4 linked regions of the Rhinolophus ferrumequinum genome follow. The protein of the gene in region 1 interacts with the protein of each later gene in a pairwise test. Links are inferred from orthologs where the notes say so. Each region holds a gene or a part of one and is shown on either strand. Other genes may lie near its edges. The genes, in order: APPL2, CRADD, SUV39H2 and RAB22A.

Evidence for each region.
Region 2: the proteins of APPL2 (region 1) and CRADD interact in binary tests that used the Homo sapiens proteins (3 or more experiments, as listed by UniProt). The two-hybrid records come from large-scale screens. The link is inferred for Rhinolophus ferrumequinum from reciprocal best matches to the Homo sapiens genes APPL2 and CRADD.
Region 3: the proteins of APPL2 (region 1) and SUV39H2 interact in binary tests that used the Homo sapiens proteins (3 or more experiments, as listed by UniProt). The link is inferred for Rhinolophus ferrumequinum from reciprocal best matches to the Homo sapiens genes APPL2 and SUV39H2.
Region 4: the proteins of APPL2 (region 1) and RAB22A interact in binary tests that used the Homo sapiens proteins (3 or more experiments, as listed by UniProt). The two-hybrid records come from large-scale screens. The link is inferred for Rhinolophus ferrumequinum from reciprocal best matches to the Homo sapiens genes APPL2 and RAB22A.

What each region holds. Positions count from the first base shown.
Region 1 is NC_046293.1:14,984,258-14,991,529, reverse strand, and holds the start of APPL2 (DCC-interacting protein 13-beta), read right to left. Parts: upstream 3,001-7,272; 5' UTR 2,793-3,000; coding exon 2,739-2,792; intron 1-2,738. UniProt on the Homo sapiens protein: Multifunctional adapter protein that binds to various membrane receptors, nuclear factors and signaling proteins to regulate many processes, such as cell proliferation, immune response, endosomal trafficking and cell metabolism.
Region 2 is NC_046293.1:84,803,618-84,810,544, forward strand, and holds the start of CRADD (death domain-containing protein CRADD), read left to right. Parts: upstream 1-3,901; 5' UTR 3,902-3,996; exon of another isoform or gene 3,997-4,049; intron 4,050-4,608; exon of another isoform or gene 4,609-4,797; intron 4,798-5,343; 5' UTR 5,344-5,349; coding exon 5,350-5,647; intron 5,648-6,927. UniProt on the Homo sapiens protein: Adapter protein that associates with PIDD1 and the caspase CASP2 to form the PIDDosome, a complex that activates CASP2 and triggers apoptosis.
Region 3 is NW_022680355.1:1,428,889-1,435,753, forward strand, and holds the start of SUV39H2 (histone-lysine N-methyltransferase SUV39H2), read left to right. Parts: upstream 1-3,858; 5' UTR 3,859-4,093; intron 4,094-6,607; exon of another isoform or gene 6,608-6,748; intron 6,749-6,865. UniProt on the Homo sapiens protein: Histone methyltransferase that specifically trimethylates 'Lys-9' of histone H3 using monomethylated H3 'Lys-9' as substrate.
Region 4 is NC_046306.1:3,908,153-3,915,042, reverse strand, and holds the start of RAB22A (ras-related protein Rab-22A), read left to right. Parts: upstream 1-3,867; 5' UTR 3,868-4,144; coding exon 4,145-4,180; intron 4,181-5,215; coding exon 5,216-5,295; intron 5,296-6,890. Other genes in the region: serine/threonine-protein phosphatase 4 regulatory subunit 1, read right to left, coding at 3,522-3,566, 3,712-3,718. UniProt on the Homo sapiens protein: Plays a role in endocytosis and intracellular protein transport. Mediates trafficking of TF from early endosomes to recycling endosomes. Required for NGF-mediated endocytosis of NTRK1, and subsequent neurite outgrowth.

The sequences.
Region 1 (7,272 bases):
AGAATAAGCCCCTGAAGAAGTGTGAGCTGCAGCAGCTCAAAGCTGCACTTGTGTTCCTATCACAGCAGTATTCACACTGTACTGGGACTGCTGCTTTCCTTATCTGTCTCCCGGAACAGACTGTGAACCAGTGGAGGGCAGGCACCCTTAGCTCACCTGTCGCTACTTCCCAGCATCTAACAGGCCTGGTGAGGAGCAGAGGCTCCCAGACAGCAATGGGGATAGGCATCGTAATTCCTAAAACATTCTGCCTTTCATGTATCAGAGGTAACCAGAGATAACGTGTGGAGGCACATAGACAAGTCGTATAACAAAACATCATGCAGTAATGAAAAGGAGAAAATGAACAGATGTGTCCAAGGTCAAGAAACTGCTCTTCAGCTCTTCCTGGGTCACTGAGTTCAAATACAAAAGCTTTGTGTTCATTTAATGAATCTTGTGCAACCAGGTTACCAGAGCAACCCTCATAAATACTTAGCATAAAACTAGAGGAAACAAACAATATGTAGTTTCTTAGGATCTTTTCCCTTTTAGTGAAACAACATTTTAGGTCACCGATGACAATAAAGCCAGGTGTTAGGTGGCTGAGTTACCTTTAACAATACAGACGGTCTGGGTTCCAATCCTGACTCTGCCCCTTTGTAGTGGATAACCCTGGGCAAGTTGTAACCCTGGCAAGTTATTTAACCTCTGTGCTCCTTGGTAATTTTAACAGAGCACCTACTTCAAAAGATTGTTGGGGGCATTAAGTGAATTAATAATTTAGGTAAAGCATTTAGAACAGTGCCTGGCACATAACATGCATGTATGATATAGGTGTTTGCTATTCTTCTTATTCTTTATACACAAAATGAAGGCGTTGGATTAGGTTCCTTCCAGTTCCAAGTCCATGAGTCTCCTTGGGAGTAAAGCTGCATTAGGCGCATGCCCCATACAAGAGTGTTAAATAAATATGCTCTAATAATTATCAAAGACCTTCTTGAAAGTTAGCTGCCATCCAACAACCTCACCAAGAACCCTAGTAGGGTGACATCCGAGTCTCAAAAGCAATCACAAATTCCCCACCTTAGGAGGAACATTAAAGAGGAATGACAACGCCTCTGCACCTCCTCTTCCACATACAAGCTCAGAGTAACAAACTATGCAGACATGATAAAAATGTAAGCTTCTAAAGCCCCTTGAAGATCATCTGCTCCATGTTCCTCTCCTGCAGATGAGAAAACTGAGCCAGTCATAGGATGGGGATAAGTGACCTGACCAAATGATAAGTCAGTGTTAGAGCTAGAATTAGGACCCAGGTCCCCTGACTTGTTTGCCAGGCCTCTTTCTACTTCCTCACAGCTGAGCAAATCCTGTAAACCACTCTGAAATAATGCATATTGACTTATGTCAGAGTCCAAAATTCAGGTGACTTACGGGTTAGTGTAACCTCTCTAACCTGGTTCAGCCATCGCCACGTTCAGTTAGGAAAGCAATACATCTTTGTACCTCAGTTTCTCCAACTAAAAGCAAATGGAAATCCTCATTCAAAATCGTGTCGTAAGAAATTCTGTATTATCTTCGATCCTAAATAGTATGAGTGAGGATGGACGGAATGACTTCTAGTAAGGGTCCCATTTGGGATCCATTAAAATGCCAGAAGTCTAGAGACTTCAAAGAGGCCTTTGAAAAGTCAATTAGACCAGCAGATGCTAATTAAAAAAAAAAAAAATCACAGCTTGCCTATAGTTTCTTACAAAGAAATGAGTACAAGACAACGAAGCACACAGCTCTTTGACTAGTTATTCTGAACTGGAGAGAGGCAGAGTGGGCTGTAGGTAAGCCCATCAAAGGACCATCCCAGGACCACAATTCACTGCGAAGAAAAAGGAAAGGAACCAAAAAGAGAAGGGAAACTGTGAAAGGAAAACAGGTCAACCCTATTCTAATTTTTCACGAGTTGAGACACTAGGGAATAAAGAGACTTATTTAAATAACCCAGGCGTACAGAACCAGGAGAGTAGATATGAAGCTGGGGAAATGTTAATGGAAGAGAACAAACGTTCCCTGGGGAAAAGGTGCTCTGAATTATGAACCAATGTCATTCTGCACTTATTTGCTATCTTTACATACAAACTTCCACCTGCAGAGCTCAAAGAACTTGACTCTCATCTCACGTGCGCTAATGGGAGTTCTTCTGTGCCAAAAATGGAGCTGGTATTGTTAACTTTGTCTTCACAAATGGGAAAACGGTGCCACAGGGAGGCCTGGTACCGCTGGGAAAGAGATCCAGGCTCTGCCTCCCACAGTGGCCCGAAATCCACCAGTTCCCTCACCTCAGTAATAGCAGTAGTAATAATACCGGTAACTCCTTACTCTGTATCATTGTCAGCTAGCAAATTTACAGGCATTTCCTTATTTAATTCTAACAACTCCAGGAGGCTGGCACAACTATTATCCCTATTTTATAGATGACAAAAAGGTTCTTTGCCCAGGGCACTCGGCTAGTAAGTGGAGGAGCCGAAGTTCAGGCCGGCAGCCTCAGTTTCAGTTGAGTTTGGAAAGAGGTCATGACACAAAAGGCTCCGTAGGGGACTCCCGCGGGGTCTCCAGCTTTGCCAGAGGGATGCCCACTCCCGGATCATCCCGGGCTGAGGACGCAGGGCCGGGCCCGCCCCCTCCCCGCCTCCACCCAGGGGTTGGAGGGGCTCCCTCGGCCTCAGCTCTCCGGCGAGGGGTACTGGAGCGGCGGGAGGTACCTGGGGGCTGTCCTGCAACGCCTCCTCCAGCAGCAGCTTGTCTACGGCGGGCATGATGCCGCGCGGCAGGGCCGAGGGCTGGATGGAAGGGCCGAGGGCAGGAGGCGCGGCCGCCGAGGCTGCTCCGGGCTCAGGCGACCAGCAGACGCTCAGTGCCCGCGCGCGCCCACGCCCAGCCAGTGGCCGCCGCCGCCGCCGCCCGCCGGCCCTCCTCCCAGCCCTGCCCTCCGCGGAGCAGGATCAACAGGAAGTGTGGCCAGCGCCCGGCATGGCCGCCGGAAGTGTGGCGACCCGCTTCCGCCGCGCCCGCAGCTCGGGGGGAACCGCAGACCCTCCCGGCCGCCGAGCAGCTCTTTGAACGCCTGGGGTGTCAACATCCGCGGTTAAGGGGCCCCGGTCCTTATGCCAGTCAGTGCATAGAAAGCCCGAGAAGGGGAACTTGAGGGCGGAAAGATAAGATTTTAATCTCTGTGAGTACCCAGAAAACTTTTGAATCGAAGGAGACAGGTGCGAACAGATTTTGCTGCTGTGACTCGCCACTTTTTTAACGGAAGGAAAACCCTCATACTTCCTCACCACTTTTTCTAGATAAATCTCAGTATCCCCGAAACAGCCGTGAGAACAGAGAGGTTACCTAATTCTAGGAAAAACTGGATAACTGAATCATTTGTGATATTCAGACGTAACCATTTTTAAAACCATAGCACTTTGATGTGAGCAATATAACTTAGGTTTCATCCTCATGGTTTGCTATGTTTTGTCATTTTTGGAAAATTTCATAATCAAGTTTTTAGAATTGGAAAGTTTAGATGTCTAGTTCAGTGTTGTCACTTAGAAATGTAAAAAGAGGACCTGGAGAGTGAAGTGATTTGGTCAGGGTCAAACAGTTAATGAAAACTAGAGGAAGAAGGAGGACAGGAAGTAATAGGGGAAGATTGGCAAGTGTAATTTGGTGTTTTTTTGTTTTGTTTTTCTTTTTGTTTTTTTAATATCAAAGGCAGGGGTTTCAGAAGTTTCTTCTTTAGGAATCAGAATTTGTCTAATAGGACACTGTGGGGACGGAGTCCCAGAGAGCAGTTTCCAGGCTCTCGGCCTCACGTGGAAGGGTGCTGGCTCGGGTAGTAGATGGCTGTCAGCTGTGGCTAGTTGACCATCAGCTGTAACCAGTTGGCCAATTGGCCACTGATATGACTGCCACGGCTGCGTTGGTTGGTCGGTCAGTTGGTTGGCAGGCAGAGAAGTGAACAGCAATTTGCAGGTCGTGTGGATCCAGCCTCCAGTGAGACTATAGTGGTATGGCTCCACTATCTATGGCTCTGTGGGTGTTCCTTTTTGGCCTAGCCATATCCTGCATTCTTATGTGGGGAGCGGGACCAGAGACCCCACCTGACACTCTGCATGCCACCCTGCATAACACATGGCGCAGCGAGCAGGGTCCCCTGCACGACAAATAGCGCAGCAAGCAGGGTACGGTACCGGCCAAAGCTCTCAGAAGGGCGCTGGAGCAGTTTGTGCGTATGAACACTCAGTCGCAGGTAGATAAGGAGGAGCAGCTGCCGGAGAGCTGGACCCCGTGGAGGGGTGGAAAGACGTGGATGGTTCCCCAACCAGCACAGGCTGGAGAAAGCGAAGGTCATTGTGGACGCTTGCTGAGTCCTCCTTGGGAGATAAGGGTGAGTTCAAGGTCGTCCCTCACCCCAGGACAGCCCTGGCGAATGACTATGGACTGTGGGGAATTGCCTTCCATTCCTAATTTAATGGACCGCTTGACTGCTTGGGAACATACCACCATGTAGTAGAACTGGCGGATGTTTGTTTTTGTGTCTCGACCGGCCGCCATGAGAATATGTAAGCACCTTGACTGTGAGTCGCTGTTGTTCCAGCACAGTACCCTGAGAGGCCCAGAGAGAGTGGCAGTGCCCTGAGAGCCCTGGCTGAGTCCCAGAAGTCTGGCTGTGCCCAGAGAGTGGCAGTGCCCTGAGAGGCTCTGGCTATGCCCAGGGAGACTGGTGGTACCCTAAGAAGCCCAGGAAGTCTGGCTGTGCCCAGAAGTACTGGTGGTGCCCTGAGAAACCCTGGCTGTGTCCAGAGAGCCTGGCCGTGTCCAGGATATTGCATTCACCCTGCAGGCCGCCTCGCACAACAAATGGAACAGCAAGCAGGGACTCCCGCACAACAACAACCCAGCCGCCAGTGAGACTATAGTGGTATGACTCCGCTATCTATGGCTCCATTGGTGTTCCTTTTTGGCCTCACCATATCATGCATTCTTGTGTGGGGAGCGGGACCAGAGACCCTGCATGACAAGGACACATGTCACTAAAATCAACAGGCAAGATATGAAAAATTATATAAATTCTGTATTCTACAAAACACCGAGGTATATTAAGTCACAATCTGATTTGCAGACATCTCTGAAAGTCTGGTCACATCCTCTCTGATCACTTGAAAACTCCAAGGCCATTTTCTCCAGTGGGCTCTAACCAGCACAATCTTTGCTGAGCCACTGTGTGGCCTCTATGGGGAATCATCCAGCATCGTTTTCCCCATTATATTCTTTCTTCTTCTTGGGTAGAATAATGTTCATACCATGTATTTTCTTTTTCCTGTATTTTCTGTCAAGTACTATCCAGTTTACTCTCACCTCATACACTCTTCCAACTCTCTCCTCTCTGAAATCCTCTTCCACAAGATCATACTCAAACTTTTCCTTTCCCCTTGCTGGCCCCAAAGATCACTCCCTCCTCTGAACAGCCAGCACCTTGATTGTCTTTTAGCATATCTTACGCTGTAGCACTTTTTCTTTCTATGTGTAGGTCTTACTCCCTCTTTAATAACTCTCTCAAGAGCATAACATGTCATCTTCCTTTCATTCTGAATACTGAGACACATTATAACAAATAGATGTTTGCTGTTCATGACATGCTCAGTCAACTCTTTCCCAATTAAGAGAACATTTTCCCAACCTTCTATCTTGCTTTGTTCGTATCCTTCCATCCAACTGGAAAACACAACAGTTATTAGTTGCCTACTAGGAAAACAATCATGATCCTGCTGATGATAAGAATAGTATAAGATTGTACCAAGGGAAAGAAACACATTTTAGTTTGAAAATAGATTTTAAAAGGAGACTATGCCCTCCAGATACCTGGGAAGGTCTCACAAGTCCCTTTGGGAATCACCACATTTTTCATGTGTCACCTCATCTAATTAAAGTTATTTTTCCTCAAACACCAGCATTCAAAATTGTTTAAACTATGTTTTTACACAATGCCATTACTTTTTCACATTTTATTGCTACATTGTAAGCTAAACAGCCTTAGTGGGATTACTTGGCACTTAAGTATCATTTATAACATTGTTTCTGTGGGGGAAATGCATCCTAAATTCAAAACAAGTAAGTTACAAAAACAACTCTGGGACTACAACACATTTGCAAATTGTTCATGTAATTCATTTCTTTTATTTGTTTACCCAATCATCCATTCATTTAATAAATATAAATTGCTTAATGTTAAGCATTGTGTCTCCTACTTATTTTACTGTCCTTATTATGACTCATTTAAATTCTGAAGCCAAATATCCTCCCTTCAACAGATAATCTGCAAAAAATCATATAAGAGGAACTTTTATATAAGCAGGCACAAATTTTTAAGTTTCACTAAAAAGTATCTGTTCCTATTAAACTATTGTGAGGGTGGAATTCAAACATCCACCCAACTGTACCTGAAATCCCTGGACAGCTGGGAGGTTGGTAACAGGAAACACAAAGATGGACCATTTAGAGTTACCATGTCCTTTGGGGAGAGAAAGGAAGAACTCTATGGAGCTGTAACCTTTTACCCGGTGAAGGCCAACTGGGAAAAGGGCAGGAGCTATTTCCATAGGCACCTATCTGTGCGTCCCGTATTAACCTGGAGTTTTCAGAGTTTTTCAGTTTCAAATGAAAGAAACCTGACTTCAGTTAATTTAAAGAAAACATAAACACTCTGCAGTCTCTGGGAGAAACTGAGGGGTGAGGAGACTATATTTCTTAGATTATTTGTATTCTGATGACAATGATCCAGTGGGTGGGTGGGGGGGAATGCAGATACAGGAGAGTGAAGTGACAATTGCAGAAGCACAGTCCATGAGCAAACTAAAAGGAGTGGGTTCCAAATCACACATGAAGGGGATAGAAGCAGGGACAATGCATTCAGATTGATGCACATCACAGTAGATTGGTAAATTAACTGGAGGAGGATGAAGGAGTTCTTGTTGCTTTTATTTTCTCAGGAAAATAGGAAGCAAGGCCATTGGCTCAAAGCAATGATGAGAGGGTGTTGGAAGTTTGAGGATAAAGGAAAGAGTATGATAAAGTCATCTTTGGGCATGGGAAGATGAGGCATAAGTATTAATATTCCTATTTTACAGATGCTGCAACTGAGGCTCAAACAAATGACAGAGCCAAAGTTCCAAAGGCCAGGACTGTGCCTACTACACTCCAGGATATCTACCAATCCCTTCTGCATGCAAAGTCTCTGTTGAGAAATCA
Region 2 (6,927 bases), about 70 Mb from region 1:
ACTGTCTTCCAAAGTAGCTGTGCCATTTCACATTCCCACCAGCAATGAATAAGAGTTTCTATTGCTTCGTGTCCTCACCAACCTTTGGTGTTGGAGTTCTTGATTTTGGCCATTCTAATAGGTGTATTTCCTTCTTTTTTAAGGATGATATATATAATTTAAAAAGAAGGAAATAACCCCCACCCTTTTATTTATATATATATATATATATATATATATATATATATATATACACACATATGTGTATATATATATATATATATATATATATATATATATAGAGAGAGAGAGAGAGAGAGAGAGAGAGAGAGAGAGTATCCCTTCATCATCGATGGACAATTAGGTTGCCCGTTGTGTATAATGCTGCAATGAACATGGGTGTGCAGATATCTCTTTGAGATACTGATTTCATTTTCTTTGTATCTATACCCATAAGTTGATCATATGATAGTGCTATTTTTAATTTTTTGAGGAATCTCCATATTGCTTTATCAACAGAATTGTTTGACTTTGTTTTTGCTCAGGAGCTTAAGAGTTGTTTTATTTAGTTTCTAAACTTATGGGATTTATGGAAGCTATCCTTTTATTAAAATTTCTGATTTTGTTGTAAAATGGTAGAGTCCATAGGTTGTATGCTGTTGACATTTTTTTAAAATTTATTGAAGTTTCTTTGTGACTTAATTCACGACCTATTTCTGTGACTATTTCAAGTATGCTTGAAAAGAATCTGTTTTTCTCCATGACTTAATTTCCACATCTATGAAACAGAAAGACCCCAAAATATCCAACTCCTTTGATTTTTGTTTTGAAGGTTGCAAAACCAAAGACTAAATGGAAAGACAGCAAAACACTACACTCATTCTTTCTGCTTTTTCACTCTTTTGCACACTCACAATGGGTATATTTTGATGCAAGTAAACATGGTAAGGGAGAGATCAAAAGGAAAATATCTGTCTTCCTGAAAAGGGATTGGTTACCACTGGGTAACGTGCTTAATCCTGTGTGGGGGCATAACTCCAGCCTAGAGAGAGGCACTGGACAGAGTGGAAGAGTAACCCCCTGCGATAGTGATTCTGCTCTATGTTAGATTCCTTCAGGGCTTGCTGACTTTACATATTTATACAGTAAAAATGAACCTTTTGTGTGCTGCTCAGAAGTATCATTGTATGCTAGGGTGGGTGGTAGTCCTCCAACAGGCTGACTGACAATATTTGGCTAGTCAGTCGGATAGCTAGCCTGGTCACTTAGGAGGCAGCATGGATGCTCATCTAAATTTGCCATAGGAAGAGGACTTTGATGGTGAAGGGCTTTACCTTATCGATTTAATCAGATCTTTAATGCCAACCCCTCAGCTCCTGCACTAACTCTTCTCATGCTGTCTCCCGCTCTCTTTTCTTCTGTTCATGAACTCTCATGGAACTCTCTGTTGGCTCCTCACCTACCCCTGGATGTCATCAACATCACTGTCTCCTTCTGGCTTCCAGGAGATCACAAACCTTTCCAAATACAAGTCATCAAGAAGTGTTTTAAACTAGGTAGTGCTATATGGGTTTTTCTTGTGCTATTTGTTTAACTTTACTATATGTTTGAAAATTATCAAAGTTTACAGTTGGAAAAACTACACATGTTTTTTTCTACCCCAAAAGTCAGTGACCTCAGTTGTTGGCAGTATCTGTACTTTATCTGGATGAAGAGCAAGAATATTGCTAACACCTGCCTATATATAGAAGGGAAATCTTGTCCAATTCCAGAACAAATGAAGGGGGAGAGAGGAAGAGCATACCTGGAACTTAAAAGTATCATCAGTGGGAGGAGGCACAGAATGATTTGCCAATATTTTGGCTGTCATTAGAAGAACAGACTCTTCACCACACAGGGCTGTGTGGTGTACAGTATACTGGAAATAGAATGAAACCAGAGAGCCCTGGTTAGAATTCAGGTTTTGCTGCATATTACCTGTGAGATTTTGGCTAAGACACTTGGCCACTTTTATCCACAGTCTTCACACATGTAAAATGCTAGTTATAATAATAATATTTGCCACCCATACAAAATATTGTCACTACTGGTATAGTAAAATGGTAGATTGGTATAATAACACTTTAAACTTGTTACAAAAATTAGAAGGTTTTGAGGAGTGAGATTTAGAATTACTCCCCATTGATTTGCTTACAAAGATATTTTCATCTTCCATTAGAGGTATTTGTTGTAAAAACCTCTATGGAAATAAGGACACTTAAGGTTTGTTTGTTTGTTTGTTTGTTACTGTCAAGTAATTTTTAGTACATCTATGACTGTCTGTATATATCATCCAATTGACTTAGAAGTGAATCAATAAATGCATTTATCGACTGCCTCATTTCTTAAAGGAATTTGAGGAAGGACCCTCAATTTGATACTCTTGTACCTGTCTATATTTGGGTCATGCACTTCTCTTGCCTTCCAAATTAAAAATATGGTCGACTCAGCAGATCTGTCCCCAATATCAGTCACTCTCTCTTTTTAGCATATCTTTCTGTGCTTCAGAAGCTGGAAAACTCCAAATTACATGTCCCAGACACTCTTGATGCTAATGTTCTGAATGCAAATTAAGTTTCACCAGTGGCATGCATCAGAATAAGATTTGCACGGTCTGTTTTGATGCTGTTGGCAAATACAGCTGTGGAGACCTTGGTTTTTCTGCAGTTGTGTTCCGTGTCCAGTCCTTGTTGTGTCAGTGTTGAGAAGACTAGAACTATGGAGTAGTGGCGGTTCCTGACTCCATCTTCCTAATTGTGGCCTTGAGCCAGTTTGTCAGTGTTGTTGATGGAGTCATGCTTGGATGCCCAGACCTTCTCCAGCCTTTCCAAAGATTGTGAATGTCTCCAATTCTAATGACAAATACCTTTCTGTCTAGAGTAGCTAGCTGATTGCTGCAACTGAATCCTGAATAACTGACTTGTAAACACTTTGTGGGCAGGAATCTTATTATATAAAGAAATTGAAGCAGGGCCTGGTTGGGAACCCCGTAGGAGAGGCCTCGCTGCATCCCCAGACTCACCTTTCCTTAACCTAAAGCCTAGTAATAAATTACCCCCTGCAGCTTGAGTCCAGAATGTCCCATCCCAGTTCCCTGTTTTAGAAAATTACCCTGAAGCTTATAATTAATACCCCATGCTTACTGATCACAATCTTTATGGCCTAGCATTCTTTCCAGGTTACTGTCATCACTGCTCCTGGGTTGATGAGCACGTGGGAAAGCCACATTGCCAGAGGGAAGGCTCCATGCAGACCCCTGGAACTATCATGGAGGAATGCCCAGATTTTCCCTTAAACATCCCAGGCTGGTCTGAGAATGTTAAGGTAGTTTTTAGAGGTGCTAACTCGCTGCCTTCTCAGACCACCGGTGCTCTGATAACAAACGTTTATTCTATGACCCAACTCCTGTGTCGGTTTATTGGCTGAGCGCAGGCAGCATGAGCCCTGGACTCCTTTGGCCTCCAGTTTCAAAATCACCTTGTATTTTATGTGGAGGGAAACAGATGGTAAATAAATGAGTAGGTAAAAGTTTTGGTAAGATGGTGATACCTACTACAGATAAAAATAAAGTTGGAAGATGGGATGCCAGTGCAGGAGATGGCTGTTGCAATTTTAAATAGAATGGTCAGGGAAGGCCTTGCTGTTAAGTTGACTTTTCAGACCTATTATTTCAATTGTGTACTAGGCCGTGATGGAGTTACTGTGTTAAAATGCAATTATCCGATTACTTTTTCATTAGATAACCCCCTAAGTGATGCTACTATTTTTCAGCTCCAGGTGGCTAGATTGTTTACCCACAGCAAATATGGCGGAAAAGGCTTCACTCGGACACTTGGCCCCAAATAAAGATGGTTACAGAACTTCCTGTGTTTGCCCTTAACAAAAATGGCGACAACACTTCCTGTTCCCGGCTTTCGCCTTTAACAAAGATGGTGCTTGTGGTATAGGTTCCCTAACAGTCTGGATTCCGGTTGCAGGGTATTTTTGTTTTTTTTTTTGTTTTTTTTTGGTTAAGATACGTGTTTGCAGACGTAAGTAACAGGAAACCAGAAGCTCCGTATTCATCTTTTCTCGAAGGCCCCGCGCCGTCGCGTCTGCGGCCTGTGCCGGGCGTGGCTCCCCCGCACCCCTATCCTGCTCGGGACCTCCCGAGCTGGGCCGGGTTGGGGTGGCGGTGGGGGTGCCCGAGGCCCGCTCTCCCCCCCGGTCCGCTCTGAAGGTCATTCCCAGCACCCTCTTTTAAGCGGGTCAGGTTGCCGCGAAAATCGCTTAGTTCTTCCTGTTCGTAATATTACAGGGCTTCAGCTGGAGAGGCAGGAAATACAAAGAAGTTCCAAACGGGCTCTGGCTTCCAAAAGTGCACACCCTGCTCCTCCCCTACACCTGCCAGACTTCACTGAGGGCTGCTGGGAGGGGAGGGGAGGGGAGGGGAGGCCTGGGGTGGGCCGGGCTTGCACTCTCCGGGGTGTGTGGAAGCCCCATCGGCCTCCCCTACCTCCCCTCCTCGCCCCTCGTTTCCCCTCATAGTCTGCACACAACCTCCCCTCAGCTCACTGGTTCAGTGGTCTTGCCAATATGCCTTCAAATCGTGCGTGGCTACTGACCGGGACTGGCGTGTGGACATTTTTCTTTCAAAGAAAAAGAAATCCATTAAAGGTCCCATACATGTGTAGCCACCAGTGTAGTGATGGAGATCCTGCATTCTTACAGAGAAGGGATGGAGTCTGACTAAAAGGTTTACAGTAGACTGGGCACAGACACTTCAGTGTTTTTTTGAAGGTGATGGCGTGTAGGCCTTTTCTCTTAGGGGAAAAGATCCTTCAATGTATTGGTATCCGCTGGTTTCTGCCCACCATGCCCATTGCTGCGGAGGTTCTGCAAATGCGCATGTTCAGAAGCGCACCTGCGTGTATACTGGCAGTTTCTGCTGTGATTGGGCAACTGATGAAGGCAGTGTTATAATTAAAAACCCAGTATTTTTGCTCAAGTATCTTAAAATGAAATGTTGCTCTGTAATCCTCGGATGAAAGTTGCTTCTTAAGCAGGGTCTCTGACCCACTTTCCCTCCAAATCTCTTTATAGAACAAGATAATTGAGCTAAGATCCCATTGTGTGGAAGAGCAAAAACAGAAAAGATGATTCATGTTCAGTGTTGTTATGTTCAGAAACATTTGAAATTAACTTGGCTGGGCTAAACACCATGGCCTGGCAGTCGGCTGAAGTTCAAAGCTATCCATGACCTTAAGGAGCTTGCATCGTAGGACCCTATCTTTAGGGGCTCATCAGTATTCCTGTAATCTGAGCTACAATTTTGTCTCTTTCCAGGGGGAAATGGAGGCTAGAGACAAGCAAGTGCTTCGTTCTCTTCGCCTGGACCTGGGTGCAGAGGTACTGGTGGACGGACTGGTTCTTCAGTATCTTTACCAAGAAGGGGTCTTGACTGAAAACCATGTTCAAGAAATCAAAGCTCAAGCCACAGGCCTCCGGAAAACAATGCTGCTGCTGGATATCCTACCTTCCAGAGGTCCTAAGGCATTTGATGCATTCCTAGATTCCCTGCAGGAATTTCCCTGGGTCAGGGAGAAGCTGGAGAAGGCAAGAGAAGAAGCCATAACCGAGCTGCCTGCAGGTAGGCCCCCAAGGAGATCACTTCAAGCCAGCTCCAAAATGGTTGCACTATGGCCTTTGGATTGGAAATTAGGGTTTTAGGCTGGGAGGGGATCGGCAGTTCCTGAAAGTGGATAAGGAGTTTGGGCGGAAGGCACATGGCATTAGAGGGACGGGATGAGGAGATGGAATTAGGAAGTGCAGGGAAGGAAGGAAGGAAGAATGCAGCATGATTGAGAGGGTGAGGAGGGAGGTCACAGGGTACGTTTACAAATGCTTCCAGGGAAATTTGGCAAGTCTCTTGGGAGGCATGTTCTCCTTGGAGAGCCAGGTCAGACCTCAGCCCTTGGCATCAGGAGCCATTTGGAAAGTGCAGATGGGAAAGCAGGCATTAGGCCTTCTGATGACTGCTTCACGGGGTGCCAGAGCTGCTGGCTGGGAAAGGTCAGGTTTGTGAAGGACAGAGCAGCCTTTAGGAAGGCATGCCTTGCACCTGTTCCTCGGGCTGTCCTACGTGGCCAAAGGGGATTGTTTGGAAGGCTGGCTGACTTTGTTTTTAAAGGTTATTGATTTAACGTTGTCCTTTTTAGTTTGGTTTTATTCAGACACCCAGAGTACTTAATTTTGTAAGGACAGTAGTTTGTGGAGGGTCTCATTCTAATTTTAAGGAAAGTTGCAAGCTATGGAAAAGAGAAACGGTCCTCGTGCCATTAACTTGGCTGATAGCAGGAGGATGTGATACGGAATATTTGTTCCCTCTTAACAGCTCCCATGACTTACACTTTTCACAAAGACTGAGCAGTATAGAACTGAACTGACAAAAAATTTGAAAGTTGACAAGAGTTAGGAAGTCAACATTCTCTGGCGTTTTGATAGCAGTGATAGTTAGAACAACTTCAGGTCAGTGGTCCCCAGACTGTGTTGTTCCTGTTTTTTAAATAACAGTATAACTGGTTAAAAAGCAAATACCAGTAATAAAAGACCACTTTTATTATTTTGGCCTCATGGACCTCATATTCTGAATGATTTTCCAGACCACATGTATTAAGTACTCATGATTAATTCTTCTATTTTTATTAATGACTGAATATCTAATCAGCATGAGATAATCTGTTAACTTAGAAAGGCCTAGTTAAATCCCAGTGGAAAAAGAAAACAATGTTTTAATTTACTAGCATGGCCAAATTACAGGCAAATGTATGTTTTGGGCTTTTTGAAGTACTGAAAATAGCTGGCCTTTTGAGAACCACTGGAGTTCTCAGGTTTGATTGTCCTTACAAAATTAGATAGGTGTGTGAACAC
Region 3 (6,865 bases), on another chromosome or scaffold:
CATGGGAAAATGTCAGGATTTCCAAAATAACAGTGACCATGTAACATTTATAACAGTGCTATTGTTTATTTGCTTTAATTCATTATCTTATTTTTTAAATTGTGATCTCCCTACAACTCCATGAGTATTTGTATTATAGAGAGAGCACCATGGCATGTATTAATTCTGTGTTCTTGACGTAGAAATATATTCAGAAAATTAAATAATTTATCCAAGGTCTCACAGTCAATAAATAGTGAATTTTGAACTAACATCCAGGTGCTTTTCTGTAAACTTAATTTTGCTTGATTACTTACTATTCTAAGCACTTTATGTGCATTATTTCATTTAAATTCACATTTCCAAGTGTCTATCCTAGTATTCTTTGCCTCTCAAAGAAGAACATTTATTTAAATGGAAGAGGAGACATCCATGGACCTCTAGAAATCATGTTTTCAGTGGTCTTCATGAAAGAAATTGTGGGTTGCCGGCATAATTCTTTATTTTTCCCTTGACACTCATGTATGTCTCTCAATGGCTTTTGATTTCCCACTCCATTTATAGCCAGGATTTACCAAGATCCTCAAAAAAAAAAGCAGTCTTAGGACGGCTTTTACACTCTTAAAAATTATTGAAAACCTAAAGAGTTTTTGTTTATATTAGTGATATATATAGATATAGATATGTGTATGGATATAGACAGATATATACAATATATAATATATCTCCATATAGAAATTAAAACTAAGAGATCTTAACCATTTTAAATTAAAAAAACATTATGTTAACCTATATAACATTTTTATGAGAAATAAATCAGTGGCAAGAATGGTATTGTTTTCTATTTTTTCAAATCTTTGTAATATCTGGCATAAAACAGTAGCTCTATTCTGGTATCTGCTTCTTCAATCTGCAATATCCAAGTTGTGAGACTTCTGGAAAACTTCACTGTACACTGGCGAGAGGAGAGTAAAGAAGGCAGATAAGATCTTGGTCTTCTTATGAAAATAGTTTTGCATTTAGGATCCCCTGATAGGGCACAGGTCTCGGGGTCCCTGTACCCTACCTTGAGCGATGCTGCTCTAGGTAGTAGAGACACAGCAATGCATGTTGAAGAGACAAGGCCTAATCCCCTGGAATTAATGGGATTCAAGACTAGAAAAATGAAGGAAATAATTGATTTACAAAAGAGTCTAATACATTCTATAGATTTTTACTGAAACTGATCAAGACAAAAAACAGACAAGTAACTGCAGATTTTGACAAGTGCATTTAAGGGAGCAAAGAAGAGAGAATGGCAGACAGGAGGTACGTACTTTAGATAGGGTAACCAGGAGAGGCCTCTGAAGAAGTGACATTTAAGCTGAGTCCAAAGTGATAAGAAGGTAGCCACATGAAGGGGAGGAGTGCATCCTCACCTAGGAAGTAACTGTGAGTTGCCGTAAGTTACTTATTTCCTCACTTGTTTATCTGCTCCTCCCAATCGGATATAAGCTCTAGGAGGACAGGGTATTTTTCTTTCTTGTCCACTGTTATATTCCCAGCAGCTCGTACAGTGCCTGGCACATAGGAAATGAACAATAAAAGATTTTTAAATGAGCAAAAAAAAGTCCTAGAGAATAGTGAGCAAAGGAGAGAGTGGCACAGAAGGTGGCAAAACACGGTTAGGGAGGCAGAGTTCTAATCACATAAGATCATGTAGGAAAGTGGGTTTTATTCTAGGTCCACTGGGAAGTATTTCAAGCAGAAGAGGCAACCGTTCCACTTTATGTTTTAAGGTCACTTTTGCAGCTGTGTGGAAAGTGGACTGGACAGGAGCAATAGTGGGAAACCAGGTAGGCTTTTGTAGGACTCCAGTTGAGAAATGATGGCCTGTACGAAAGTAATAGAAGTAGCAATGGAGAAATGAGACAGAATCAAGGTGTATTTTGGACAAACCATTGACATGACTTGCTAATGGAATTAATTTGGAGAATGAGAAAAGGGTGACTTAAGATGACACAGATTCCCTTCTTGAACACCTATGTAGACCAGGCCTGGAGGCAAAAATCAAGGGTACTTTTATGAGTATGTTCCATTTGAGGTGTTTGTGCAACACTTAAGTGGATATGTCAACCAGGTACTGTGGATATTAAAGTTTGGAATTTAGACCAGAGGTCAGGGCTGGAGACAAAAAGTTTAAAAAGATACTTAAATCCATGGGAACTGAGTCACTTAGGAAGAGAGCATAAGAGAAATGTATCAGGGCCAATCTCTGAGGAGCCCCAGAATTTAGGTTGGATAGAGGAAAGGGAGCCAGAAAGAGGAGGGAAGAGTGGCCAGTGAGGAAGAAGGAAACCTAAGAAAGAAATTGAGTAAGAATGGATGCTCGTGAGGGTGCTGAAAGAACATATAGGAGAGGCAGTGAGTACACTGGGGACGGGAGAGGGCGACAAGCCCTAGCAAGAAGGTGAGGCTCTAAGCCTCCCCCGCTTTTCACCTTGTTATTAAGGAATGAAAGGCCCCATCCGACCCTATCACATGGGGGCCCCTTTTGTTAGGGTTCCTGTCCACTTCTCAGATCTCACTGCTCATCATTTCCTCCCATTCTAATTCCTAACTTCCTTGAATATTCCCTGCTCCCCATCCCCCGGATTTTGGTCATTTCTGTTTTCTCTGCCTAGAAAATGTCTACATTTCTATCTTTGCTAGGATTATTCCTATAGGTTATAAAATGCTCATTATAGATAATGGCTAAATATTTAAAAAATGAGAAATCAAAAAGGAAAACACAACCCAGAGAATTTATATTTATATTCCTATACATTTTTTCTTACATAGTTGAAACTCTGTATTTTACAGGTTTTTGTTTGTTTTGCTTAACATAGTAAACACTTCCCACATAATACTAATGGCTTCATAAAGATCGTTTTTAATGGCTAGGTAGTATTTCATAACGGAATCAAACAAATTAATTCCTTTAATATTCTGTTTATTTCCAATATTTCAAATTTATACATGATGCTTTGAAATATTTTTTTGTAATTTTACATAAAATTCTTTTTAAACTTGTCTAGATGCCAGACGACTTTCTACTGAAGTTTTCGCATTTACTCTACTTCTAAGATTTCTGCTTTAGATTGTTTAGAACAATCACCATGGAAGCGGTGTGAAGAATGGATGGGGGCGGGGAGAGGTTCCAGACCCGACAGAAGCTCCTGGAGTTGTCCTGCTAGAGGACCTGGGTGTCACCGCAGCCTAGCGGTGGCAAGTTGTGGCCGGATGGAGAGGCATCCATCAAGGGGCATAGCCTGGGAGCTCGTTGGAAACGCAGAACCTCGGGTTTCAGCCCAGACCTACCTAATTCAAATCTGCATTTTCACAAGATCCCCAGATGATTTCTAATGTCCATTCAAGTGTTCAAAGCACTGATCTAGACGGTCGTTACAAATTGCTGCACACTACAATCACCGGGGGAGCCGTAAAAATGCCATTGCCTACATCACACCCCATACCAATTAAATCAATCTCTCCGAGTGGGACCACATAGCAAAACCCCTCCAAGAGATCCCAACGTGCGGCCAATTTTGAGAGCCTGTGATCTAGGGGAGTAGCATGGAAGGAAACAATCGTTAGTTGGACTCAGGTAGCTGAGAAACAGGCATGGGAGGCAAAAGCACCATATAGCTCTGCTCTACGTTTTGAATTTTGCACAATGTACACGTAGCGCCGATGTAAAACAAAACGTGTGGGAAGGATTGACAGGAGTACCCTAAACCAGCCAGCCTGAGGCAGGTGGTTGCTAACCTAGTCGAGCGCCCCCTGCCGCGCCCCGCCCCCACGCTCCGCCGTGCGCCACGCCCCTGCCCGTGGATCCCGTCTCACCACTGGCCTCGCGCCGTCCCCACGCGCCGGGATGCGACGTGGGCGCAGGCGCGCTCGCTGCTGCGTCCGGGGTCTGCCTGCGGTGACGTCAGCACGCCTCGCGGTTTCTAGCCCCTCAGCCTCGGCCCCCGACTCCCGCGCGGACCGGCCAGGGGCGGGGCGTCCGGCCAGTTGAACTATCCCGACAGACCGCGGCTTTTTGAATGAAAGCTCCTCAAGATGGCGGCGGCCGGAGCCGACACGCGAGGAGGTGAGGGCTGGAGAGCGGCGCCCCTCACTACCCCCCGTTCTCCAGGCAAACTCCTCAGGCCCGGGAGGCGGGCCGGGACGCGCGGGCCAGGCAGAGCGCGACGAGGCGAGACGCCGCCTCCCACCCTGGAGACACCTGGGCCCCCAGATGCGCCCCACGGGCTTCACCCTTCTCTGTTCCCTGACCCTTCTCGCGGCTCGGCCCGCTGGCTCCCCGCATTGTACCCCTGCGCCCTGGCCTGCGCGCCGGGATCTGCCCAGCCGAGGTCCCGTGGGGCCCGCGGCCTCTCCCCGCCCAGTGCGTGTGGAGGTATTTGGGCTCCTGCCGCGGCTCCCTCTAATCCCTGGGGGGTGGCGGGGCGACTCGAGTTCCCGTGGGCGAGCGTGTGGCTTGACTCCTTTGTGGTGGTTTGAGCGGGTCGTTTAGTGTTCTGGCTGGCTTTGTAATTGGGAGCCGGGAAGAACCCTGTAGTGTAAATGTGACCTCAGTATCAGGAAAGAGAGAAATCGGGGCTGCAGTATGACCGCTAGAAAGGAGCTAAGCGAACATACATCCCAATTCGGCCGCCCTAGGAGGTTAAATTCCTTGTCGGAGAATGTCCAACTAAGTAGGTATTTGAGGATGTAGCCTCTGGCTTAGGGTGATTTTTATACCCGCCAGGAACTTGCGTGTTGGTTATGTTTGGACGCCAAAGAATTAGGTACCGAACGGGGGTGTGTTTTTGTCGCGCGCGCGCTTTGAAAGACTGGAACTTTCATTGTATTTTAGAATTTAAAGGTGTTTTCCAATACTACTACTCGCCACAAAGATTATGAACTCATCATCCACAAACTTTTCCTCCATTAGAGCTTAGTGTGAACTGTTCTGAGGTTTTTGTGGTGGTAATGAAATGTTTAATCTTGAAAATGAATTTTTCTACATTATCATAATCGAAATTGTTGCCAAGAGATTTCAGTTTCTTACGTTCCATTGTTTTTTACGCTCAATAGCATTTCCATAGGGGGTCGTGTCTTGAATCCTCTTATGACTTCAACTAGCTAAAAATGGTAGGAACAGCAGACAAACCGCCTTTGCGTGTGATCAGCGTAAGGAGGTTCACTTGACACAAAACATCCTTAAGATTTTTAATGGAAAGGATTTAAGGGGGTCATTTCTCCTACCCCGAAACCACCACTACAAAACAAGCAACCTCTCCTCCCAATTTTTTTTTTGGGGGGAAATATCTTGGTCTAGAATTATGAGTGCTTTGTAGGAAGTGGGGATGGGTGGAAATCATGCTTCCAGGGTTTGGACGATGAAGTCTCAGAGCTGAGGGTGAGGAATGGATATATAGTAAGAGCAGCTGTGTTTTCTGTAAATTACCTCAAAACACAAGGTTATCACAACTGCCTTGAAGAGCTGCCAAGTAAAGCTTGAGTTTCCTGATAGATTTTGTTTGGTAACCCCAATTGACTCCAACCCTCACATTTTTTTTCAGTGAATCTGAAACCCAGAACTCTGAAAACCTCACTGAAATCACGTAGCTTAGGTGGCCTACCAAAGGCTAGGGCAGAGGATCTCTGATCCTCTCTAGTGCTTACCATAACACTCGCCATAAAACCAAGTTTGTTACAGATTTCTAAACATCACTTTGTGTTAGCATGTTTTACATGCAGTATGGTAGCATACTGTTTGCAGAAATTTGAGGGTAAAATCGGCAGCAGTTCCTGGCTTCTTCTGTAAGTTTGATTATGAGTGTGTCTTCAAGCTTGGTATATGGGTCAAGTAAATTGAATACTCTGTTTTGTAATTCTTGGCTTTAAAAACAGTACAGGAAATGAGTATTACAAAAATCAATATACTCTCCATTATATTATTATGACGCTTGGGTTTATTCACTTTGATTCATTGCAGCCTGGGCAAAATAATAAGTGGAGTTAAAATTTCCTGCAACACTGCAAAGTGGGAAAAGTAGGCCATGTGATGTATGAGTATGTGACTATAGAAGTATATTTCAGTTAGATTTCAGTTCTTATTTAAGAGAATGGGGAAAAGTTACCTGTTTAACAAATTATAAGATTGTTTTAAAATACATTTAAGATGCGTTTCTAACAATGAGCATGTCCTGGAGATCTACATTTTATTAAAATAGCAAATTATATTCTATGTAGAATATAATGGAGAAGTCAAAAATATTCTCTTTTGACCTTTGCAACTATATGTAATCTTAAACCTTACAGACATGAACAGTTTGTTCAGATGGCTCACTAGAAATTAATTGGCATCAGTTAAACACAGTAGGATAGAAACCCAGGAGAAAACCCAAGAAGACCAATTTACCTAAATAGTTCTTTAATGCTTAACTTTTTCTTGAAGACACAGAAATGGTTTCTTGTCATATGAATTTTTAGTCCTATAAAATTGCCAGTAGAATGGTGGGGATATAGAGGTCTTAAATTTTTTCCTTTTCCTTTTTTGTTTTAATTTAGTAGCTATTTCATTAGTAAAGAATTCTATTTTCTTATTGTAGCTTGGTGTGTGCCTTGCCTAGTTTCACTTGATACTCTTCAGGAATTATGTAGAAAAGAAAAGCTCACATGTAAATCGATTGGAATCACCAAAAGGAATCTAAACAATTATGAGGTGGAATACTTGTGTGACTACAAGGTAGTAAAGGTAAGGCAAATATCTAGCCCCTTAAAAGAGACCTAATCAGACTTCAGTATTTCATATTTCTGTAAGATAAAAAGAACCTTAAAAGTAAGCAAAGCTCTTCTTAATGTGTAAAACTCT
Region 4 (6,890 bases), on another chromosome or scaffold:
TTTTTTTTACCCACCACTGACATACTCATACTCTTAAATTGTAATTGGCCAAGCACACCTTACCGATAGTAATACGTCTTCAGCCTCCACGTGCCATAAGCAAAGCCAGACACTCATAGGCCTTTACGGCTTTAAGGCACTGACTCATACAGCTCCACCTTCCACAAATGGTCCACCGAGAGGACGGATATGCCAAGCTAGCCCACACTGTCCGCTCCCAAGAGAAGGAACTTAGATTGCTTCAGCAAGCTAATTCCCCACAATTAAATCTTTTCTGTGCTGTGATGGCCCCAAGACTCATAACGATTTAAAAAAACAAGGTATCCATTCATTATGGCTTCTTTTTGAAGTTAGCCAAATTTAATCAAGAATCTCAAAGTCAATCAGACAAGCCTTCTAATCCATTATTGTCACCAGTAACAACATTAATTGAACACCTAGATCATGCAGGACATGAGTTATAAAAAGGATGACCTGTGTCTCTGCCCAAAGCGACTGACAGCCTAAATGGAGAGGAGACTGCATCCTTTAGACAAAAATGCCCCAGGAAGGCCACCTCAATCAACATCGCGCCCCACCATTAGGTCAAGCATATCCGTGAGGTCTGTGTGGTGGAATACAAAGAAGAAACAGAGGTTGGTGGCTCGTTCTATCGTTTATGACTTGTGCCGTGTTTAAGTGGCTCAGTTTTATCATCTGTAAAATAGGAATAACCCCACCTACCTCACAGAGTAGCAGATGTTAACACTGAGTCAGAAAATCTTCTATGAAAGCCTAGCAATGATGATGCTGATTAAACTAAATATGAATAAACTAATAATAAAAATCACTGAATACTCATTATGCTGGACATATGTTTTATATATACTATTTCATTTAAGCCTCATATCAGTCCTATGAGGCATCTCCTATTCTCATGTCATTTTGCAGATGAAGAAAATGAACAGAGTGAGTTGGTGATGTGCCCAGGCTGACACAACTAAAGGCAGGAAGAGGGTCACAGGACCTCAGGGTTTTTGCTGTCAATCATGGCAGGATAATTACTCCCAAATACCACCACTGTAAGGGATAAAGGTGGGACCAAGGGCAGCATAAATTGTTGGGGGGGGAGGCCCCTCCTATTATGGCTATTAGATCATTTATAAAGTCGTAAGATACAGCACCCCACAGCCCAAACCCCTGCTCAAACAGGAAGCCCCAAGAAGCTCCCAGAGTTGCCCTACCCAAGGCGTAGGTATGTTTGGAGCCATAATGGTGGTTTCCTTCCTTATTGGGCAAGTTTTCAGCCATCAGCTAAAGTATATTTAGGCGATCTTTATTACAAATCTCCAACACCCAATATTTATCCAAACAGGGCCAAAGTAAAATCATAATGATATTTTCCTATATAATCTCTTACTTCCTTTTTGTACATATAATCAAAAAAGACTGAAGGAAGCTAGCCATCAGGAAAGGGGTCCAACTGCCTGCGGCCACCATGCTTTGAGAAGCCCAACCCAGCTAAGTGGAAAAGGCACCTAGAGAACTGAGGGTCTGGCCAAGAGTCCCAGGGATCTCCTGGCCCACGCCATGGAGTGAAGCCATCCTGAACCTTCTCACCTTCAACTGAAACGTCTGACGCTTCTACATCACCCCGTCAACACACAGAATTGTTAGAAATAATAAAATGATGTTAGTCTAAGCCACTGTTTTGGGGTGGTTTGGTAGATAACTGAAACAGCCAGAAATCAGCTTTTTCAGCCAGGACAAATACCAAATCTACAAGTAACAGGTACGTTAACAGCAGCTCACTGTTGTTTATCCATCGAAAAGCCACATCCTTCCATTCAAGGGTGCCTATTGGCTGACACACTCCACTCTGTAAATCAGGGCCTGCACTGTACCTGGTTCAACAGTGTTAAATAAATATGAATAATGATCACATTAATAACAGTAACAATGGCAGCTACTACAGAGGGCGCCAAAAAAATGTATACACATTTTAAGAAAGGAAAAAACTATTAAAATTGTAATAATATATACCGATAACAAAAGATGAATACAAGTAAGTGACGGGTATACATTTTTTGGCACTTCGGTATTTACCAAGTTTCTTGCATACAATGCTTCCTGCTAAACTTTTTATTAATTTCACCTTCACAAAAGCCTTTTGAGGGGCAGCTGGTTAGCTCAGTTGGTTAGAGCGCAGTGCTCACAACAACAACATTGCGGGTTCAATCCCCACATGGGCCACTGTGAGCTGCACCCTCCACAACTAGATTGAAACAACTACTTAACTTGGAGCTGATGGGTCCTGTAAAAACACAGTTAAAATAAATAAAAGTATAAAAATAAATAAATAAAAGCCTTCTGAAGTGGACCACTATTATGCCCACTTTACGCATGAGGCCACTGAGGCTCAGGAAGGTACCGTGAGCTGGCCAGGATCACAGAGCCTATACAGAATGGCACAGGACTTCACCCTCTGGCCATCCGACTTCCACAACTCCTGCTCCTAACCATCAGCTTTAAGGCGCCTTGAAGGGTCATTCTACTTCAATCAAGTTGCCATCCTCTAAAAGAGATACTGCATGTAAAGGGCTTAAAAGTATGCCTGACCTATGGTAAAGCTTTCAATACACACCAACTCTTACTATTAGGCGACTTAGAGATGGGGAAGGGAAGAGCATACTAAGACTTCAATTAATGGTAGCTATTTTGATAGTTTGTGCAGGTCTCCTTCACCAGCAAGCATCCTGGAGTATGCAAATGTTCCGTTTACAAGTCTGGTCTCCCCACGGCTGTGAGCTCCCTGAGAGTACCCCTGATTCATCAGTGTCGGTCCAGGACTCCCCATGTGACCTGCCCTAGAACAAGGAGGTGCTCAAGGAATGCCTGTTGAACGGAAAGGAAATACTTCATTCACCACAAATGCGACCGGGCATTTCCAGGGTATCTCCCCCAGACATTAGTCCTGAAAGTAATTCCAAAGAAAAGGAGAGGGGCAGGGAGGGACAGGTGAAGGAGACCCACAGCAGAAATGCAGGCGTCAATGAGCAACTTGGGAGAAGTGATGGAGCTGAGCTTGTGGCCAGGACACTTGAAAAGCCTGTGCAACTCTGTGGTGTGGCCGGCCACACGGAGAGGGGAGCTCCCAACTCCCCCCCACTCTGAAAAGTCCCAGGGAAAAAGTGGATACCGTGGGTGGAACCCCTCACCCCGCCCCCAAAGTGGCCGCGCCTCCTCCCGTCCCTGCTCCGCCGCCGCTAGAGAAGGAGGATGAGGAAGAAGAGAAAGAAAGTGACAGGAAGTCAGAAGTTTCCCAACAACAAAAATCCTTCCCCCGAGGGGAGGGCTCCCCCTTCCTCAGCCGTCCGCCCTATGAGGAGGAACCGCCACAAATGGATAAAGGCAGTTGGGGGTCCCGCTCTTCTGGTCCCAACATAGAGGTCCTGACCTGTAGCACCCCTCCGCGTTCTGTACACCTCGAATTCTGTGAGAGGTTCCCAGGGGAGGGCGGGTGCGCCCCAACTGTTACTTACAATCGTCTAAGTCATCTTGCAAGTCCACAAAGTACAGGGGGATCTCTGAAAACCAAGAGACACAAGGAGTTACGAGGGGGCTGTGCCACGGGGGCTCAAGGGCGGGTTGGGGGCCCCCGGATCTCGCTGGGTGGTCGCGGCTAAGGAGGAAGGGGCCGCCCCTGCACCCCCGGAGTCCGGGCCCACTTACCCGCCATCTTGGGATGGGCCTGGAGGCGGGGCCGACGCGAAGGGGCGGGGCATCTAATCCCGGGCCCCGCCCCGCGCCCCCGGCCCCGCCCCAGGACCCACGAGCTTCGCGGCGCCAGCTGGGCCCCGCCCTCAGAGCGAAGGTGGCTGCCGAGGTGGGCGGGGAGGTCAGGTGACCCGGCCGGCGTCCCAAGATGGCGGCGGCGGCGGCGCCCGGGAGGCCGTGGTACCGTCCCGGCTGCTGAGGTGGGCCCCGCGCGGCTGGCGGCGGACAGGCCGGAACAAGGGCCCGCAAACGGGCGACCGCCGCCTCTGCGCGCCCCGCGGCCGCAGCCGGACCGTGCAGCGTTGGCGCCGTGGAATGCTTGTGCTGGGCCTGGCCTCTCCCTCCTCAACTTAGGGCGGCGGCGGGCCCGCGCCCAGGCTGCCGGGCCATGGCGCTGAGGGAGCTCAAAGTGTGTCTGCTGGGGGTGAGTGGCGGCGGGCCGGCCGGGAGGGCCGCGGGAGGCCGGGCAGGCCGGGGAGCCAGGCGAGCCCACGTCCCGTCCGCCCCTTCCCCCAGCCTGCGTGCGGGACGCCGCCTCCCTGCCCCGGGACCCTCCGTCTAGCCCCGGTGCCGGCCTGATCACTTTACCGCACCTTCCAGGAGGGCTTGCTGGCCAGAGAGACCCTCCCCCTTTTGCCTCCTGGAACCCAAGGTCTCTACCCGCCCCCTAAAGGGAAAAGAGCCGCGTCTCTCCGTTGCATCTAGGTTAAGAGCAGCTGTTAAATAGTTTCCTACCAAGGTACTAGTTAGGAGTTGGCCAGGTCTTCCAAAGTAAAACCAATGACAGGTCATTAGGTTTTACAGGCAGCATTAGTCTCCTTTCCCTTCTGTTTGGTGTTTTTGAACTTGTGGACTACCCCTAACACTTTTTTTCGCAGAGTTCCTTTCCTGGGGGCACGTTCAGATCAGGAAGCCCCAAAGACTGACGCTTCAGTTTCCTGTCTTATCTTAGGGCATCTTTGTCATTTCAAAGCATGCTTCCTGCAGTTGCTCCCTTGCCTCACTCAGCTGCTGTTGTAAAGACTGAAGAGGATCCCAATAACTAGTCTTCCCCCTTTCCAAGTAGGGTGGGGGCTGGGATTGATCAGGGATTACTCAGAAGTAATTCAGGAGTTCATAGTTTACTTACGTAAACTAGGAGTTCGTAGTTTACATAGTTACATAGTTTGCTTATGTTAAAAAGCAAGTGAGTTTGTCACTTTTCACACTAAGCAAAAACTTGGGGTCTTTCAGAAAGTCCGAAAGTCTCTTGAAAACTGCAAAACACCTCCTGTGCAGTTTGAAATCCGCTAATTACCGCTGAATTTTTGTGCAAACCTCTTCTGTGTCCCTAAACTTCTACTAAAGTTTACCTATCTGGGAGGAGTTTTCCAAAATCCTGGACTTAGGGCACAAGGTAGTTTTCGGGGTCTGCTAACAGGTAAACTTTTTCTTACTCACCCATCTCCTTCTCTTTCAGGATACGGGTGTAGGTAAATCAAGTATTGTATGGCGGTTCGTGGAAGACAGTTTTGATCCGAACATCAACCCAACTATAGGGTAAGAGATTAAATTTATTGAGTATACATCTAAAGGTGTGCTGAAAGTACTTCTAAATAAAAAGTGTGCTGCACGGTGGGCATCACCATTGTACACTCTAGTGAATTCAGAGACAGGGGTTCCCATCATCTCAGGAAGGACTTGAAAGAGTTCAGTGAGGAGTGCTGTGTTTTAAAAGAAAATTATCTTTTGTGAGGAGTGAAAACTTCAAAATGAAAATACAAATTAAAGTTTTGGTTATTAGACTACACGTAGAATCTTCAATCTATAAATAGTAACAGCAGTTACACCTTAAAATAAGGCAGATGGAAACAGGTCTGGATACTAGTTTTTTCGGGCATGTCAACCAAAAGGTATTTAGATGATTTTAGTTCTTCCGGAAAAGTGGATGGGGCCTGAACCTTTCTCACACATTCCTGCTCTAGTAAGAAATTAATAAGTTAATGTTGAAATGTAAGATTTTTTTTCAGGTGTCTTATTCTTTGGCCAAGTGACATTGACTATAGAGAAAACTTTTCTGGGTATTTAAATATTGTAATGTTAATACTTGCTCTGCAAAAAGTTGTGTTTCATAGGTTTTAATACTATGTTAGGCTTGTAAAACTGAATAGGGTTTACGCTATTTATATTGCAAACCCCCAAACAAATGGTTTCTTCCATTTGAAGAGAAAGTCTGTCCTGCCTAAAGGAGAAATACCTTACAGTGTACACATGCATGTTTGAAGGCATGGAGATAAAACCACCACTAACTGGGTGAAATTAAAATGCCTTTGAAGGTCCTTCTAGAAAGAACTGCTGGGTACGTGCACATGTTTAAAGCATGACCTCACCTTCCTCAGGGCCTGCCTGTTGCTACCTGCATGGGAAAGTGAAGTGACAGGAAGTGATAGCAAGGAGTGCTAGTGGTGACTCAGTGAGTGACACACTTCACACTGAGTCAGAGCTGAGAAGAACTCTGCACCCAAGTGCTGTCTCCAAAAGGGGCGAGAAAAGTGAAGGGTACAGCTCTGGCGGTTGGTGTGGCCTGACGCCCTACCCTGGGCATCCCCGCCTCCTTGTTTGTCAGCTCCCCCAGTCTGACAGATGCTGGGGGGGTCCCCGCTCTCTTCACCAGGTTGTCTTCGCTCACATTTCACAGGAAAGAGGAACGCAAGACTTTCCCCTTGTTTCCTTCCGCCTTTCCTTGTTTCTTTTTCCTCAACCTCAGCTGGTGTCTTCCTCCTTCATGAGCAACTCTCCACACACCTGGGCTCTGGTGACCCCCTCTTGATCAGGTCTCCCTTTTCCTCCCCAGCCCTGCCTTCTTGTCATAGCCTGCAAACATGCTCCTATCCTGCTCCGTAAAGTGAGTACCATTCCCCAACCCGCTGCTCAAATTGTGGAGCTCTTAAAAAAGAAGTTCCTACTTCCTCAACTGCTGGACACTCCTCAAACCACCATTGTCTCGATTCCACCCCCACCATTCCACTGAAACCACCTTCCCTGGGTACGGGTTTCCATCCACCTGCCAAAACCAGTAGCTTGTTTTTCCTTGATTCACTCATTGAGTGCCTACTCTGTGCCAGATGCTAGACTGGGTGCTGGTGATTTAGACC